Macaca mulatta: one gene and its partners. The protein of the gene in region 3 purifies or fractionates together with the protein of the main gene of each other region. This does not show direct contact. Links are inferred from orthologs where the notes say so. Each region holds a gene or a part of one and is shown on either strand. Other genes may lie near its edges.

The links.
Region 1: the proteins of SNIP1 (region 3) and NKTR purify together in Homo sapiens (affinity purification with mass spectrometry; 3 studies listed by BioGRID and IntAct, counting the BioPlex papers as one, with this or other methods). This does not show direct contact. The link is inferred for Macaca mulatta from reciprocal best matches to the Homo sapiens genes SNIP1 and NKTR.
Region 2: the proteins of SNIP1 (region 3) and ACIN1 purify together in Homo sapiens (affinity purification with mass spectrometry; 3 studies listed by BioGRID and IntAct, counting the BioPlex papers as one, with this or other methods). This does not show direct contact. The link is inferred for Macaca mulatta from reciprocal best matches to the Homo sapiens genes SNIP1 and ACIN1.
Region 4: the proteins of SNIP1 (region 3) and PNN purify together in Homo sapiens (affinity purification with mass spectrometry; 4 studies listed by BioGRID and IntAct, counting the BioPlex papers as one, with this or other methods). This does not show direct contact. The link is inferred for Macaca mulatta from reciprocal best matches to the Homo sapiens genes SNIP1 and PNN.

What each region holds. Positions count from the first base shown.
Region 1 is NC_133407.1:105,948,277-105,952,420, reverse strand, and holds the start of NKTR (NK-tumor recognition protein), read right to left. Parts: upstream 2,839-4,144; 5' UTR 2,746-2,838; intron 2,565-2,745; exon of another isoform or gene 2,541-2,564; 5' UTR 2,518-2,540; coding exon 2,460-2,517; exon of another isoform or gene 2,444-2,459; intron 1-2,443. UniProt on the Homo sapiens protein: PPIase that catalyzes the cis-trans isomerization of proline imidic peptide bonds in oligopeptides and may therefore assist protein folding. Component of a putative tumor-recognition complex involved in the function of NK cells.
Region 2 is NC_133412.1:96,187,034-96,191,351, forward strand, and holds the start of ACIN1 (apoptotic chromatin condensation inducer in the nucleus), read right to left. Parts: upstream 2,843-4,318; 5' UTR 2,605-2,842; coding exon 2,293-2,604; exon of another isoform or gene 881-2,292; coding exon 815-880; exon of another isoform or gene 1-814.
Region 3 is NC_133406.1:203,243,287-203,247,407, reverse strand, and holds the start of SNIP1 (smad nuclear-interacting protein 1), read right to left. Parts: upstream 2,823-4,121; 5' UTR 2,780-2,822; coding exon 2,556-2,779; intron 1,299-2,555; coding exon 1,196-1,298; intron 1-1,195. UniProt on the Homo sapiens protein: Required for pre-mRNA splicing as component of the spliceosome. As a component of the minor spliceosome, involved in the splicing of U12-type introns in pre-mRNAs. Down-regulates NF-kappa-B signaling by competing with RELA for CREBBP/EP300 binding.
Region 4 is NC_133412.1:112,288,201-112,292,275, reverse strand, and holds the start of PNN (pinin), read right to left. Parts: upstream 2,859-4,075; 5' UTR 2,828-2,858; coding exon 2,715-2,827; intron 2,040-2,714; coding exon 1,968-2,039; intron 1,588-1,967; coding exon 1,519-1,587; intron 714-1,518; coding exon 641-713; intron 534-640; coding exon 439-533; intron 286-438; coding exon 210-285; intron 1-209. UniProt on the Homo sapiens protein: Transcriptional activator binding to the E-box 1 core sequence of the E-cadherin promoter gene; the core-binding sequence is 5'CAGGTG-3'. Capable of reversing CTBP1-mediated transcription repression.

The DNA of each region.
Region 1 (4,144 bases), on a different chromosome or scaffold from region 3:
GACTGAGGTTCATTGAACATTTGTCAAACATTTTCTGGAGATTTTTCACAACACAGGTTATGTGCAAATCTAGGACCTCAACATTTACTAGGAAAGGAGTACTTAACATAACTACAGAAATTTTTACTTGTACTTTCTTAAGCTTTTTAAATTTCTTTTTTTGAATTTTTTTTTAGAAACAGGATCTTGCTCTGTTGACCAAGCTGGAGTGCAGTGGTGCAATCATAGCTCATGGCAGCCTTAAATTCCTGAGCTCAAACCATCCTTCCACCTCACACTTCCAAGTACAGGTGAGCACCACCATGCCTGGCTAACTAAAAAAAATTATATTTGTAGAGACAGGGTCTTGCTATATTGTCCAGGCTGGTCTCAAACTCCTGGCTTCAAGCAATCCTCCTGCCTGAGCCTCCCCAAGTACTGGGATTACTGGTATGAGCGCCACCGTACTTTTATCTTTCAGCAATCTACTATTTTTCTTTTCTTTTTTTTTTTTTTGAGACAGGGTCTCGCTCCATTACCCAGGCTGACATGCAGTGGTATAATCTCTACTCACTGCAACCTTCGCTTACCAAGCTCAAGCAATCCTCCAGTCTCAGCCTCCCAAGTAGCTGGGACTACAGGCAAAAACTAAGAGAGCCACCACGCCCAGCTAATTTTTGTATTTTTTGTAGAGATGGGGTTCACCATGTTGGCCAGGCTGATCTCGAACTCCTGAGCTCAAAATGATCCACCCGTGTCTGCCTCCCAAAGTGTTGGGATTATAGGCGTGAGTCACCGAGCCTGGCCTATTTTTAATTCTTAACAAAAAATAACCCTGTTATCTGACGCATGGATTCACTACAGAATAAAGATTAAAGTCCATCAAGGCTTTCTAGTAACTCTAACTTAAAAACAAAGATCAATCAAGGCTAAAAACATTAAAAAGAGAGAGAGAAGGCAACCAAATTTTTAGGATTATCTCATTCCTTTGCTCAAAACTCTTTAATATCTTCCTACCTCACTGAGTCAGTCCTACAGGCCCTTTCTACTATTCTCTTCCCTCTTCTACTCCAGCCACACTGGGCACCTTGCTGTCCGTCAAACATGCAAGTACAGTCCTCTATTGTTTAATAACCAGGACGGATTCTGAGAAATGTGTAATTAGGCAATTTCATCATTGTGTGAACATCATGGAATGTACTTAAACGCACCTAGATGGTACGGCCTACTACACACCTAAGCTATATGGTCTATTTGCTCCTAGGCTACAAACCTGTACAGGATGTTACTCCACTGAATACCGTAGGCAACTTTAACACAATGAAGTATTTGTGTATGTAAACATAGGTAAACATTAAAAAGTTACACAAAAAAAAGTATTCTATATAAGACCACTGTTAAGAGACAGAAATGTCATTTGGCGCCTGACTGTATACTACTTCTCACCTCAGGGCTGTGCTGTTTCCCTCTACCACGAATGCTCTTCTTAAATATGGCTCACTTCATCTCTTTCTGATACCTGCTTAAATGTCATCTTCTCAAAATGGCCTTGTCTGACCAACTTATTAAAATAGTATCCCAACTGCAAGTCACTGTTTTCTTCCTAGTTGTCTGTCTTCCCCCCAATAGAATATAAACTATAAAAGGAAGAGTGGCCTTTGTTTTATGCGCTGCTCTATCTCCAGACCCTAGAACAGTAGCAGGTTCTCATAAGAATATGCAGAACAAGATGTTGCACAGTGTATATATATGCCTCCAATTAAAACTTCTGTCACAGATAACAAAAAAACCTAAGAAAACAGTTTGAAACCCTGCACGCTCTGCTACTTAGAATAAAGTAACTATGCTCTAGAAGGAAATGTTTCATTTTCAAAAAAATACACTTTAACAAATGGCTGGACTCCCAAAAGACAAAACAGTAACGCTAAGTGCATGCATGCTGCAATTCTGCTGATACAGAATGCTCTGGTTTATCACAAAGGACGTTCATTAAGCCATTTTCCCAGGAACCACGAAATTCTAGCTAAAGATTCTTAAGGAAAAATAGAGGCAGCGTTAACATTAAAGTAGTGATATATCGTGATTAGGAAACACACATTTCCTACTAGTTGAAACTTCATGGCACCAAGCAAGATAACCGGAAATCGGATCGGAAGTGTCTGCCCCACGGAGACACTGGGAGAGAAAAAGTCCTCAAAGAACTGCACCTCCTTTTCTTGGCGCCAGGCTGGCTACTAGGACTCAGTCCGGAGATGCAGGGGGCGGTGTGGGGTTTGGGAGGAAGAGGCCTGGACTGCGAGTTTGGGGTGTGCCCAGGCCACCTTCCTCTCCCACTGATTTTCTCTCAAGAGAAAATGGAAAGTTGACTGCGCCTCCTACCCGCTCCCAAAAAGGACGGGGGGAGGGTTACTGAGGGTAGACCCCTCCCCTTCGCCTAGGCAGGCCTCGGCCCCAGCAGCGCTCCCCAGTCTCCAGCTCACCCGGCTCCCGGTTGATCTCGATGTCGAAGTGGCACTGCGGCCGGTCCTGCGCCCCCATCGCGACCGAGGTGGCGGCAAGAGCTGGGAGAGAGGGGGAGGAAAGCGGTCAGGGCAGGGGCGAGGGCGGGGGCGAGGGCACGGGCGAGGGCGGGGCTGAGACGAAGTCCGCGCCACGGTGCCTCACGCCGGCCCGTCGCAACAGCGCAGGAGGCCAAGACGAGGCCCCCTCCCGCCCCAGGCCTCGCGGCTCCCACGCAGCGCGTACGCATGCGGGCGAGCTCTTCACCTGGCTGGCCTCCAGCCTGAGCGGGTCCCAGTGAGCAGAGGAGAAAGCACTGCCACTGCAGCCAGACCCCAACGCCGCTAACGGAACGCCACCTCCTCCTCCGGGCCCGGCCTCCCAAAGCCACGCTAAATCCCGCGAGAGTCGGGACAAATACCGCGAGAGTACAGTCTAGATGGGGGTGGTCAACCGGAGGTGGTGGCAGCGGGGGCGCACGCTCGGGGGCGTGTCTGGGGAGCTCTCGAGGAGCCTCCAGCCGGCGCTCCTATACCTGCGCGCTCCCTGTTTGCCCCCCCGCTTTGAAGTCAGTTGCCCAATGTGAAAGCCGTGGATGCGCCTGCGCCCTCCGTCTCGTCCGGCTGTGAGCGTCTGCGGCATTTTCGGATACCGCCAGACTTCCCTGTTTCTGAGCGCTGTGAAGGAGCTGAGTGAATTGAGGCTTTGAGTTTTCGTTAGCCAAGAGGTCGTGTCACTCTGTGTTCCTGTTGGCCGGGGATGGTTATGTCCGTGTCCTACTGTTAGGTCTTTTAGGCTGAGGAATGTGTTCCTTCCCGCTTTGGCACCAGCGTCACTGGCACCGTTTCTGTTCTGTGCTTACTGGCCATTCTGCATCTTTTCTGAAGTTTCAGTTCCAGTCTTTGCGCGTTTTTAAATCTGGTTCTTCGTGTTTAGCAGCTCTGGATACAAATGTTTTGTTAGATAGATATATGTATGTTCTGAATAAAAATCTTTTGTTACATAAATGATTGCGAAGTCTTTCTCCCAGTCTGGGCCTGTCGTTTCATTGTTTTGAGTATGTTTTTGGCAAAGTTGTTTTTAATTCTGGTGAAGTCAATCTTTTATGGTTTGTGCTTTTTCTGTGCTAGGAAATCTCTGCCTACCTCAAGTTCGTGAAGATATTCTGTGTTCTCATATATGTTTTACATAGTCTTTTACGTGTAAGTCTATGATCTAATAGCATTAATTTTTGCTTATGTTGTCAAGTGTCACATTTTCCTATCGGGATATACAGTCGTTCCATTACCATTTGTTGAAAAGACTCTTACACATTGAATTACCTTAGCCTTGTGACCAAATTTGTGTGGGTCTATTTCTGGATTTTTGTTCCAATGATCTGTGTATCAGTACCACACTATCGTTTAAGTTTTTTAACTATAAAATATACATTACATTACAGTTGCCATTTTAACCATTTTTAAGTGTACAGTTCACTGGCATTAATTGTATTTCACACGGTTGTGCGACCCTCAGTACCGACCATCCATCCACAGAACATTTTCCATCTTGCAAAACTGAAACTCTGTATCCATTAAACAGTAACTCCCCATTTCCCTCTTTTCCCAAGTTCCTGGCAGCCACCTTTCTACTTTCTCTCTGTAAATTTGTCTACTCTAGTATCTGC
Region 2 (4,318 bases), on a different chromosome or scaffold from region 3:
TGAAAGAAACTTTAAGAGACTGTGCAGCCTTATAATTTTTGGATTTTAACTGTGGAATAATTTAAAAGACATCTTATGCAGAAACTCAATTGTCAAAGCGGATAAAAGTAGATCTAATCTAGTTTAAGAGAGAAGTATGAGCCTTGCTTACTTGAGAAAAAGGTATTTATTTCCCCTAAGAAGCTCCCCAAAGCAGCTCCACAAAACCCCGAGAGCAGTTATAAACCCATGGGTTTAGTTTGACTTTTTCTCATATTACAGATAAGGAAATGGAGGAAACCAAGGCCTCCAAAGGTTAAGTTTCTTATCCTAAGTAAAGGAGCTATTAGTAATGCTTATGAATAAGTGCATTGAGTTAGTAGTTAACACTAGTAATGGTGGGTGACTTACACAGGATTGAATCCTTGGTAAATCTACATCAACAAGAGTTCTTAATTAGCAACTATTTTCCTACACTGTCACATTGGTGGTCTACTTCATATCTATACTCAAAGACATCAACTACCTTTCCTAAATTCATGGCAGATAAATGACTTCAGATCTCTGTACTACACGTAATTAATGGAAGCCACACCTTTCTGCACATACCATTTCAATTATTATAAACTAATAGCGCCTTTGATTCTGTTCTTTACTCCAGGCCCTTGTATACAACTGGGTGATTCGAATTCAACTGTCCTGGTTTGAGAACATTTCTGACCAAGGGAACTTAGGAAAATAGTCGTGAGGAATTAAGCATGAAATATACAACACCACGTCCTGCCATGTGTCTGTATATCCAAAGAGCCCACTCCATTGAATAAACCTTTCTCACCTGGGAATTTGGCTGGAATGCAGCATGGGGTGTTGAGTGTTTCTGTAAATTTTCTAGCATTAGAGCCTGGTATAGAGAAGGGTAAAAGTCAGAAATGATGAGGAAAAAAAAAGAAAAACTCCCACCTCTACCACAACCTCTTAATTAAATGCAATGACTTAAATACACACAATTAAACTGTATTCCTCTTCCAGGGACCTGAAAATCCTTTACTGACACTGTTCTCATTCATCACCAGAAGACCCTTAAAGGTAGCCACGGTTACTGTTACTAAACGTACAGATATAAAATGCAGGCACACAGAATCAGTGACCTGGCTATGTCACAATATCAGTAATAGAACCAGTACTAAAATCCCTGTTGTCTTCTGCACTTGTGCCAAGTGCCCCTTCTAAATCTGATCATGCAGGTAAAACTACTTAAAAATACTCAAACCAGCAGCCATGGGGCTCCTGGTTTTTGCCTGATGGAATTACTTGGTCAAAGGGTTACCCAGGACTAGAGTCAATTTGTATAATTTCCAGTACTGTGGCACCTAGATTTACCAAATTTACAAAATTTTCAAAGAGGAGGCTACAGAAGAAAATGACCAGAGACCCTGTGAACTGTGGTCTAACCTAGTCCGTCCATCCACACACACACACACACACAATCAACTTCTGTATAAGCAACGGTCTGCCAACTCAACCCTGGAGCCAACCCAGACCTAATCTGCACTACCTGCCACGTATCCTATTGAACTCTAATTAAAACCAAGACATCCTCATCTTCCCTTCTTTAAACCAAACCTATACACTCGAATCGATCTACACCTACCTCATGACATTCCCACCTTAATCTACTTAAACTGATTCAAAATCCCCAATATGTATCAACCTGCCTCGCCTCTCTCACCAATATTCACCAAACTCTTAACTACCCAAATTGCCACTAGATGCCCTATAAATTAGACACCTCTCTCATCAAGTCCCTTCACATAAAGGTCTCTCTTCATCTCACCTCATCTAATCGAGCAGACATTTTACCCTACCCCAATCCTATTCCTGCAGATACCGATACCAACCCCATCCACCCCTCCGCGCAACTATACCCCTAACTCCGACCCAGCCCAACTCGCCCCCCTCAGGCCAGCAACGCCGTAGGTTGTAGTGGGATTTAACTCCTTCTGCAGCGCATGCGCCGAAACCACAGATACAAACAAGGAGGGGGTGGGGGAAGGAGGAAGGAGCTTAAGACACTCCTGGAGAGTAGTGCACACCCTCCCATTTGGGCTCGCGCTGCTGCCGTTAAGGCGGGAACCGGCGCGATCGCCATTCCAGCGCGAACCTCACCAACCACCGTGCGCGCGGATCCAGAGGCTCGCGCTGGCGGCCTGAGCGAGCTCGCGCCGAGCCCGGATACTGCGCCTGCGCCGCGGCAGAGGCTCGTCTCTACCGGGTCCGCTCTCCTCCGACACCCCAGCAACGCCGACTCCTCACCCCTTTGAGCCGCTTGACCAGGGCACTCTTCTGCCCGCTCTTGGCTAGGCCTCGCTGCTCCAGTGCGGCCTTCAGGTCGGTCACCCGCAGCGCCTGAAGAGGCTTCCCGTCCAGAGTCACCTCCTCCAGCTCCGCCATCTTGCGTGAGGTACTCGGGTCCGTCCCGACGGCTTCGGGCATCTTCGGTAATTTCCGCCAACGCCCTTCGAACGTACCGAGATGACCCCGCCCACTGCCATACTCTACCCCTCGATTACCACTCAGAACTCCCCGGCTTCCTCCGGATGTCCTCGGATATTTCCGTCTCCACATCGGCACCAATCAATTCTTTCCATCCGCCCTGCAGCTCCCCTATTCTCGCCCTGCTTTCAGGCTCGGTTTTCTTCGTCTTGCCGAAGCTTTGAATCGAATATATTCGGAAGCCCTCGACTCTGGTATAACCATAATCGGAGATGTTCGTTTATCTCCGGACCTAGAGATGAGGCGCTGGGGCTCTTGGGTGTTTGGGGCGGGTCCGAGGCCGGAAGTGCGTGGGCTGCCGGGCTGGCCCAGCTTAGGGTTTTCAGGAAATTTGGAAGCTGCAGCGGTAGTTGGAGTCTAAGGACTCCTGACAATCTTCGGGTGCCGTCCGAGAGAAAAGGGGAGGTAAGCGGGGTGGAAGTACCTCTATGGGCCGGGTCAGACTCGGTGTTTGCGGACTATCCTAATAGGGCAAGCCACCTACTTCTTAACGCGAACCGCTTCTGCCCTCTGTCCTCTGAATCCCAGCCACTCCCATCTTAGGCTTTTTTTTTGGTGGGGCCTGTGGAGGGGGGCGGAATCGGAATAACAAGCTCCGTGGCCTCCAAAGTGGGGAAGAGGCAGGCAGCGCCGTGTCTTCAGACCCAGACTATGAACTGATTTATGACGCTCAACTTGAGTTTGAGTTTGCGTTTGCCTTGGAAGCCGTGTGGCAAGAAAATTCTCCATTTCTCCGAAGAAGAGAGTAAGTTCCCTTGGAGGAACTGCTTCCTGTAGGGCAAGAACTGAAAAATGCAAGCGCCCTGAACTTTTTTGGTACTTGAACTCATATTGTTTAGGGGCTTCTTTCTTTGTCACTAGCAATCCTCCAACTTGATGCAGAAGAAACACAAACAGTAAAATAGGTCACAGACAAATGGTTTAGAGATTTAAGAGATATGTTAGAGATTTAAGAGACTGAAAACTATTGAAGTCAAATAGGCTGATCTTTCCGTTGCATTCACGATGCAAAATTAATGTCAAGGCGCCGGGCGCGGTGGCTCATGCCTATAAGCACTTTGGGAGGCCGAGGCAGGCGGATCACTTGAGGTCAGGAATTGGAGACCAATCTGGCCAATATGGTGAAACCCCGTCTCTAGTAAAAATACAAACAAATTAGCCGGGCGTACGCCTATATTCCCAGCTGCTCGGGAGGCTGAGGCAGGAGAATTGCTTGAACCCGGGAAGCGGAGGTTGAAGTGAGCTGAGATCACGCCATTGCACTCCAGCCTGGGCGACAGAGCAAGACTCCGTCTCAAAAATAAATAAATAAATAAATAAATAGCAAGGCACCAATAGATGCCATACTAAAAAAAAAAAAATTTTTTTTGTCACTCCACTCTGGGTCATTCCACTCTGAACCAGGCTAGAGTGCAGTGGTGTGATCAGGGCTCACTACAGCCTCAACCTCCCGGGCTCAGGTGATCCTCCTACCTCAGCCTCCTAAGTAGCTAGGACTACAGTTAGGCACCTCTACGCCCAACGAGTTTTTAAATTTTTTGTAGAGATGAGGTTTTGCCATGTTGCCCAGGCTGGTCTTGAACAACTGGATTCAAGCTATCCTCTTGCCTCGGCCTCCCAAAGTGCTGAGATTACTTTGGAAGTGAAAGAGCCACTGTGTCTGGCCCATACTAAATATTAAGGGCAATTGTTTAAAAACATGGATTGTCATGAAGTAGTGTAACAGTTGTTAGATCTCTAAGCCAACAAACCAACTGGACTCTCTTTAAAGTCTCAAACACCCGGG
Region 3 (4,121 bases):
ACTAAACTGTACTCTCCAAAATTAGCAAGTTAAAGTACCAAACCCAAGTACCTCAGAATGTATTAATAACTGTTTTTGGAGATAAGGTCTTTAAAGAGCTGATTAAGTTAAAAAATGAGGGCAGGGCCCTAATCCAATATGGCTGAGAAAAGACACCAGGACAGAAAAAAGATCATTTAAGGATACAGCAAAGAGGTAGCCATCTGCAAGCCAAGGAAAGAGGATTTTTTTCAGGAGAATCCAAACCTGCTAACACCCTAATTTTTGACTTTTAGCCCCAGAACTACAGGAAAATGAATTTCTGTTGTTTAAGCCACCTACTCTATGGTATTTCATTATGGTGGCCCTAGGAAACTAATACAGCCACTCTGGAAAACAGTCTGGCAATTTCTTAAAAGAATTAAACCTGCAACTACCGTACAATCCAGCAATTGCACTCCAGAGAAATGAACTCTTATGTTCACATAAAAACCCGTACACAAATGTGTATATAGCAGCTTTATGTGTAATAGCCAAAAAATGGAAACAACCCAGATGTTCTTTAATGAGTAAGTGGCTAAATCCATGCCATATGGATACCACTCAGCAATGAAATAGAACAAACTACTGAGAGCTGCAACCTGAATCAATCTCCAAAGGATTCTGCTGAGTGAGAAAAGACAATCCTAAAGGTTACATACTGTATGATTCCACTTACATAACATTCTTGAAATGACAGAATTATAGAAATGAAGAACAGATTAGAAGTTGACAGAAGTTAAGGAAGGATAAAAGTGGGAGATAAGTGTGTGTGGCTACAAAAGGACAACATGAGGTATTCCTTGTGGTGAAGGAAATGTTATCTTGACTATATCGATGTCAATATTCTGATGATGATATTGTACCACAGTTCTATTATGAATAGATGCTACCACTGGGAGAAACCAGGAAGAGTATATCTCCCTGAATTATTTCTGACAACCATATGTGAACCAATAATAATCTCAAAATAAAAAGTTTAATTTAAGCAAACAAGCAGAAAAAAGAAATACACCCAGTTTTCAGAAAAGCCCATTGGAGGTACAGGTAGAGATGTAGGCGAGTGTGCGTGCACACACGCGCACACACACAATACACACACACACAGCCCTCTTTAGCTGTGATAGGAAAAGGCTCTCAATTTGGACCCAACATCAAAACACCCCAATCCACTTACCTGCTTCACTTTGACTGTTGAGTAGTGAGGACTTCGGTTTCTCTTACTCCGAGGAGACTTGCTTCTTCTCCCTGAGGACTTGTTTTTCTTTTTGGGTGGGGACCTATACAGAGCATGGTACACAGGATTTTATCGCAATTTCCCTTCCCCCATAAAAATTAGCTTCCAGTATCAGGCTTACCTACTAACACAAACACTGCTTTTGTGAAGGTATCTGCCAATCACATTAAAGGAGTCACGAGGTTCATTTTCCTAGCTCTAACGTCTCCCTTGCATTCCATACTCACATAGACAACTGTCTACTGAACCTTCTCACTTAGGTAACAAAACTCTTAATTTCCAACCCTTCAAAAACCTTTCCTCTCCTACTCCTTGCCATCTTGCTAACTGGCATCACCATCCGGAAGTCACCCTTGATTCTTTATCCCTCACTACCAACACCCCTAGCATCAGGAACAATCCCTCCATCCTGTGGTTCTACTTCCTCCCTATGCCATCTCATTCCTACCACCCACCTTCTTGACCACTATACTCCACCGACACTGGCTTTTTCCCATTTCAATCATAATTCATTCTACTTCAAGTTCTTTGCAGATGTTGTTTCCTCTGCCTGGATCTTTAAGAGGTTGAATCATTCCTATCACTCAGGTCTGGACTCAAATGGCACCTCTTTAAAGAGGCCTCCTCCCTCTTCTCTCCAATCTCTATCACATTACTGTTATAACCTATCAATAATACTTGTTATTGAAACTTTTTTTTTTTTTTAATCATCTGTCTCAGGGTTAGAGCACGGCCAATTTGGCACTGGTGAAGATCATCTAACTGAATCGCCCTTGCAGCCCCAATACCTAGGGCAGTCTTTCACACTTAAAATAGGCACTCAGTAAAACTATGGTGAATGAATGCATAAATAAATGAGTCTAGCAAGAAGTAACTTTTTTTATTTTTATTTTTCCAGTTTCTGTTAGGTAGCTCGCCTAGACCTCGATGTGAAAACCTTTCTGGCAGGTAACTGGAAAGACAAGGCCCACACTCCATTTGTGGGCGGGATGGGGAAAATCTCATTCCAATTTAACAGATTATCAGTGCTATCTGTTGGGCTACACTCTTCGAAGTGCTGGGGACACAAGAATGAAGGAGTGGGATCCTGCCGGTGTGTCATTAGGCGTTGAACACCGAGCTATAAGGCAAGTGACAGAGCAAGCATAACACAAGCACGACTGGATCACTCTCAACAGTCCCTCAGGATTAAGTCCGGGCTGCTGCGCCCAGCATTCAAAACCTGTTTCGGATGCTAGCCCTGCCCGCCTTTCTGAATGAGCCCAACCCAACGTCCATCCTGGGCTGCTCCCCCACTTACCGGCTAACTCCTCGGGCTCGGTTCCCGCGGTGGCCCGGGCGGCCCGGCTCGCTGGTCGGCGGAGACGGGCTACCGCCGGAGTGGTCCGGACGGCGGTGGGCGGGAGGTGCGACTTCTGGGCTGAGACGCTCCTGCTTCACCACCACCCCCGCCGGCAGCACCATGTCCCCGTCCCGGTGTCTTCGCCGGCTCCCTCGCTCCCGTTCGCTCTTCACCGCCTTCATTCTGTGATTTTGGCTGAGCGAAAGAAAACAGATCCGTTGAGCTCCTCTAGCTGAAGGAAATGACGAGTTTGACTCCTGGACTTCCGCTTCCGGGGTGCCCAACCTCCCAGAAATCCTCGCGGCAGATATTAAACACGTGACTACTCCCTAGTGGGCGTAGCCACAGTGACCGGCTTGGGTGGCGGGAGTTTCAAGTTTCAAAAACAAACTTCTGGCTGGGCGTGGTGACTCTCGCCTGTAGTCCCAGAACTTTGGGAGGCCGAGGCTGGCGGATCACCTGAAGTCAAGAGTTCGAGAACAGCCTGGCCAACATGGCAAAACCTCGTCTCTACTAAAAATACAAAAATTAGCCAGGTGTGGTGGCGCGCGCCTGTAATCCCAGCTACTCGGGAGAATGAGGCAAGATAATCGCTTGAACCCGGGAGGCGCAGGTTGCAGTGAGCGCAGATCGCACCACTGCACTCCAGCCTGGGCGACAGAGCGAGATGTCTCAAAAACAAACAAACAACAATAACAACAAAAAACTGGGAAAAAGCAAACCTCTCAAGACTGTTTGTTGCCACATTACTGGTAATTACAAAACGTGGAAACAATGTAAATACCCAGCAGTAGGGAAGTTAGCCAAATTAATGGGTGTTATGTGGCCATTAGTAAACCATTTACAAACTTTAAAAACCCTGACTTGTTAACGACAAAGCAGGATACAAAATTGTGCGCAAACCATAATTACATTTACATTTGGAAATAGAAGGGAGGAAGACATGGAAATGCAATCAGAGATGATAACCCGTGGGCAAATCATTAGCTTTTCCTCTTCTATTTCCTGAACTTTTTGCAATGCTGTTGGGGCTCAGAAATCGAAACCCCAAAATATGGCGCACTGACATGCCGAACTGAAGAAGCCTCAATGTTCCTTCCCGGTGCCCACCATCTCTCCCAAAGCGCAGGTCTTTATCTGCCTAAGATACAGACTACCAAAAGGAATAATTGTTTCTTTCTTCTCCTCCCAAGAATGTAATCACACCTGACCAGAGACCGTTATGCTGTCAAAAGTAGCTATTTACAGCCGAACACGGAGGCTGCAGCCTGTAATTCCGGCCCTTTGGGAGGCCAAGGCAGGAAAATCGCTTGAAGCCAGGAGTTCCAGACCAACCTGCCCAACATAGCAAGACTCTGTCTCTACAAAAATTAAATTTTGCAGGGGCTGGTGGCTCGTGCCTGTGGTCCCAGCAGAGATAGGAGGATCACTTGAGCCCAGGAGTTGGAGGCTGCAGTGAGCCGTGATGGCACCACTGCACTCCAGCCAGGGCTACAGAGTGAGACCCTGTCTTCAAAAAAACCA
Region 4 (4,075 bases), on a different chromosome or scaffold from region 3:
TCAAGGCTATTAGCTATGATATCAACAACTGTCATATTGCAACACAATGTTTAAGTAAGGCTGTTCTATAAAAAGTTAAACCAAGTTTTCATTTGGCTTTATTTTAGGTTTACAATTAAGTCTTAAAACAGCTTTAAGGCTTAAAAAAAAATTAATCTACTACTTTGATAACTTAAATACATGATGCAAAACAAAACTTGGATAAATACCCTTTCAGTAGCAACAGTGGATTCTTGTTTAAATTTTTGAAGGGTACCCATCAACAAGCCAAATATTCGCCGGTTCCTAAAGAACAGAATAAGAAAATTTACTGTCAACAGGATCCATTTCATTTAAACCCATCATTTTCTAAGAAACACTACAGGACACTTGAACAATCCCTTAATTTTCCTTATAACTGCATTATTTCACAAGAGTTTTTTTCCCCCAGGGAAATACCTTTGCTTTCCCTTTTCATCCATATTTTGATCCTGGATAAGGTCTCTACGCGTGCGCTCTTTGGAGGTAGCTACAACTGAAGACTGCAATGCTGGCTGCAGAAAAAGAAAATCTCAGTAATTAACTAGCATATGAGTGGTGTGCTTTCAAATGTAGTAAAGTGAAGGTACTACATTCGTTTAAGTTCCTTCAATCTCAATACCTTTTTAACATCATCATCCTCTGGGTCGCTTTCCTGGCGTGATTCTCTTCTGGTCCGACGCTCCCCACCCAGCCTGTCATAGACAAAATTACTTTTTTTGAGACAGTGTTTCACTATACCATCCAGGCTGAAGTGCAGTGGTGCCACCACAGTTCACTGCAGCCTCGACCTCCCAGGTTCAAGTGATCCTCTTGCCTCATCCTCCCAAGCTGGGACTACAGGCGTGAGCCAGCATGCCTGGGTAACTTTTTTGTACTTTTTGTAGGGATGTGATTTCACCATGTACCTAGGCTGGTCTGGAACTCCTGGGCTCAAGTGATCTGCTGGCCTTGGCTTCCCAAAGTGCTGGGATTACAGGGATAAGCCACTGTACCTGGCCAGAAATTAATTTAAATGACCAGAGGTATTTATGTAACTGCACACCAAAGGCAAATGCCCTCTCTTTCTAGGACTCATTTCCAGAAGCTTTGTTCTATCAAGTCTCCATTCCATTTTATTCTTTCCTCCAGCAGAGAAAGAATACAACATGTGAACTAACACCCAAACTAACTCTGCTCTCCTGTATTTTCTAAGTATTTCAAACTGGTTAAGTATTTCAATTACAAGTCAGAAAAAAATGGTACTAATTGACAATTTTTCCAAATTTACTCTTCACCTGACCTTTATTTTGATAAACTGTGGGTTATCATGAGTGCAGAACTGTGTTTTGAGAGAACTGACTCAGTTCAATCAAATACCAAGAGAACTTGTGAGGGGGGGGAAGTGGCACACTACTCAATTGTAATATTACTCAAACAGCATTATTATTAATAAATATTTGTATTTGTGTTGTACATCAGAAACTAAAGAAGACTTCAGGAATCTTTTTACAGACCTACCTACTGACTGCCCCTTCAAGGTCTCTCTGTTTGGCTGGGGGTCCTCCTCCACTATCTGAGAATCCACGCCTGAAATTTAAAATGTTCAACATAAAGCACTTGAAATACAAGATAAACGGTATTTCCATTTGACAAGAGAATATGGTTGAAATTTTAAAAACCTTTCCAACTAAAGTAGCCTTAAATGGGCATTCATTCCCAAAATGCTTTTAGTGTTACTTTAAACTATAAGAATTAAGTTCACTCAAAATTGGTACACTTAATATATTCTTCGACCTCCAGTTTTTCAGGATAACTGTATTTATACGGAAACCTAGTCTATCACAAGCATTAAACAAAGACAACAAACACTGGGTTATCGATTTTATCACAGGTTTTGTGCAAGCCAATATATTTGTAAGTAAAGTACCAGTAGTTTCAGCATGAGTAAAGTCCAAAGGAAATCTTACCTCAGTAATAAACTACCACGTCCTCTACCTCCACCAGGACCAGAAAGGGCCAGCAATCTGGCTTGGATGGGCCTGTAAGAGATTTACAAATCAGTGCAAGATCATATGCAGACACACATAGTTGCACCAATTACTTTCAGAGATATGGATCCAAGGAGAAAATCGCAAAAGTTCCAAAAAGATAGTTTCAAATAAACCCAAGTGTCTGAAACAGGACAGGACGTACTATTTCATTTAACTTCCTCGTTTCTCCAGGACCTGTATCACAGAAATTATAATCACCTCGATGCCCCCACACATTGAAAAGCCTGAATCAGGTCCCCATCCCGCCATCCCCGAGGAAGCTGCACGTGGGCAAGAGGTTGGGGTGAAGTGGCTAGTGGCGTCCCGGCAGGGTCTCGGGGCCAGCCCTGGGCCGGGTGCCCGCCAGAGCGGGAAGGGGCTTTGTGCTGCAGTTCCGGGCCTGCAGGGCCGAGGGCGGGAATCAGTAGTCTGGGTCTTCTCACAGGCCTGAGAAACCATGCCGGCGTATCCAGGACTCGCTCTCCTTTCTCAGGAACCTGAGACCAGCGCTCTACGATGGGGGCCTGGGGCTTTTCCACCTCGGCGAGAACATGGTTTTACCCGCCGCCCCGCGAACAGGCCTCGAGGTTCCAGCCTTCTGAAGGCTGGCCGCCCTCCCCGCCCCCAATTCACCCCGACCAGAGGGCTGCCTCTCCGAGCTCCGAGTTCCCGTTAAGCCCTTACCTCACGTCATTCGGATCCCGCCCGGTGAGCTTGCGAATATTCTCATCCACGTTCTTAAGGCTCTCTTTGGCCTTTTCTAGCTGTTCCTGCAAAGTTCTCACTGCGACCGCCATCTTCTCCCTGCAGCAGGCCTGAGACTGCTTTACAGGCCGCGCCGGGCTGTGCCGCGCCGCCGAGACGCGAAAGGACTGACAGCCGGGCTCAGCCAATGACGATGAGCGTTGTTTTCCGGCCTCAACCACTCAGCGACCGGAAGGGGGAAGAACCTGCAGCCTTTGTGACTCTGGGCCAATGAAAAGTCAGCCAGGCAGTCACCTCCCTCCCCAATTAGCTGCGGGTGCCTGGATCCCGCTGCTAGCGCAGAGCCGGGGCGGGTTTCACAATCCCTGAGTTCTCAGAGACTTGGCCCGCAAGCCTGCAGTTCTGGCAAGGAGAGCGCGGAGTTTTCCAGGCCTTTTAACCTATGATGTAATGTGCCTTACACAGTTTTAACCTGATCACATCAGGGTGGGACTTAGCCAAGCCTCCTTTTCTTCCTTACCCTCACCTTGGTTAATGGTTTAATTAGAAAAGGGCGCGGCTATTCTGTTGGTGCGCATGCTCAGAGAGGGGGTGGGCGCGTGCTTTCCTCTATTAGGTTAATTTTTTTTTTTTTTTCATACGGAGTCTCGCTCTGTCGCCCAGGCTGGAGTGCAGTGACACCATCTCGGCTCACTGCAACCTTCGCCTCCCAGGTTCAAGCGATTCTCCTGCCTCAGTCTCCCGAGTACCTGGGACTACAGGCGCTTGCCAACACGCCTGGCTAATTTTTGTATTATTAGAGACCGGATTCCACCATGTTGGGCAGTCTGGTCTCGAACTCCTGACCTCAGGTGATCCGCCCGCCTCTACCTCCCAGAGTGCTGGGAATACAGGCTTGAGTCACCACGCCCACCCTGATTAGGCTAAAGTGAGCAGAAGGAAGACAAAAATAAAAACTAGGAAAAGTCATTAATCATAATGACTAACATTGGTTAGGGGTTGATCTTGTTCCCGACCCTCTGTGAAACCCTCTACGTGCCTTATTCCTCACAAACTAAAAGTGTGGATAAAAATGCCTGTTATTACTGATAAGGAAATTGAGACTGGAGATAATATAACTGTCCCTTGGTCGCGCCAGTTGAGAATCAGTCTCTGATTAGACCCTGAGCATCTGTACTAGAGAAAAGAAAGCAATAGCGAGACAGGCAGTCATGGTTGAGTTAGCCTCTTCACCTGGCCTAGAGCTGGTTAAGACCAGGCCTAAGGGAGCGGCCCTATTGTTAGTGGTGTCTGTGTGTGTTGTCCTGCTTCTGGTTCTGCCCTACCTGCACTGCCAGTGT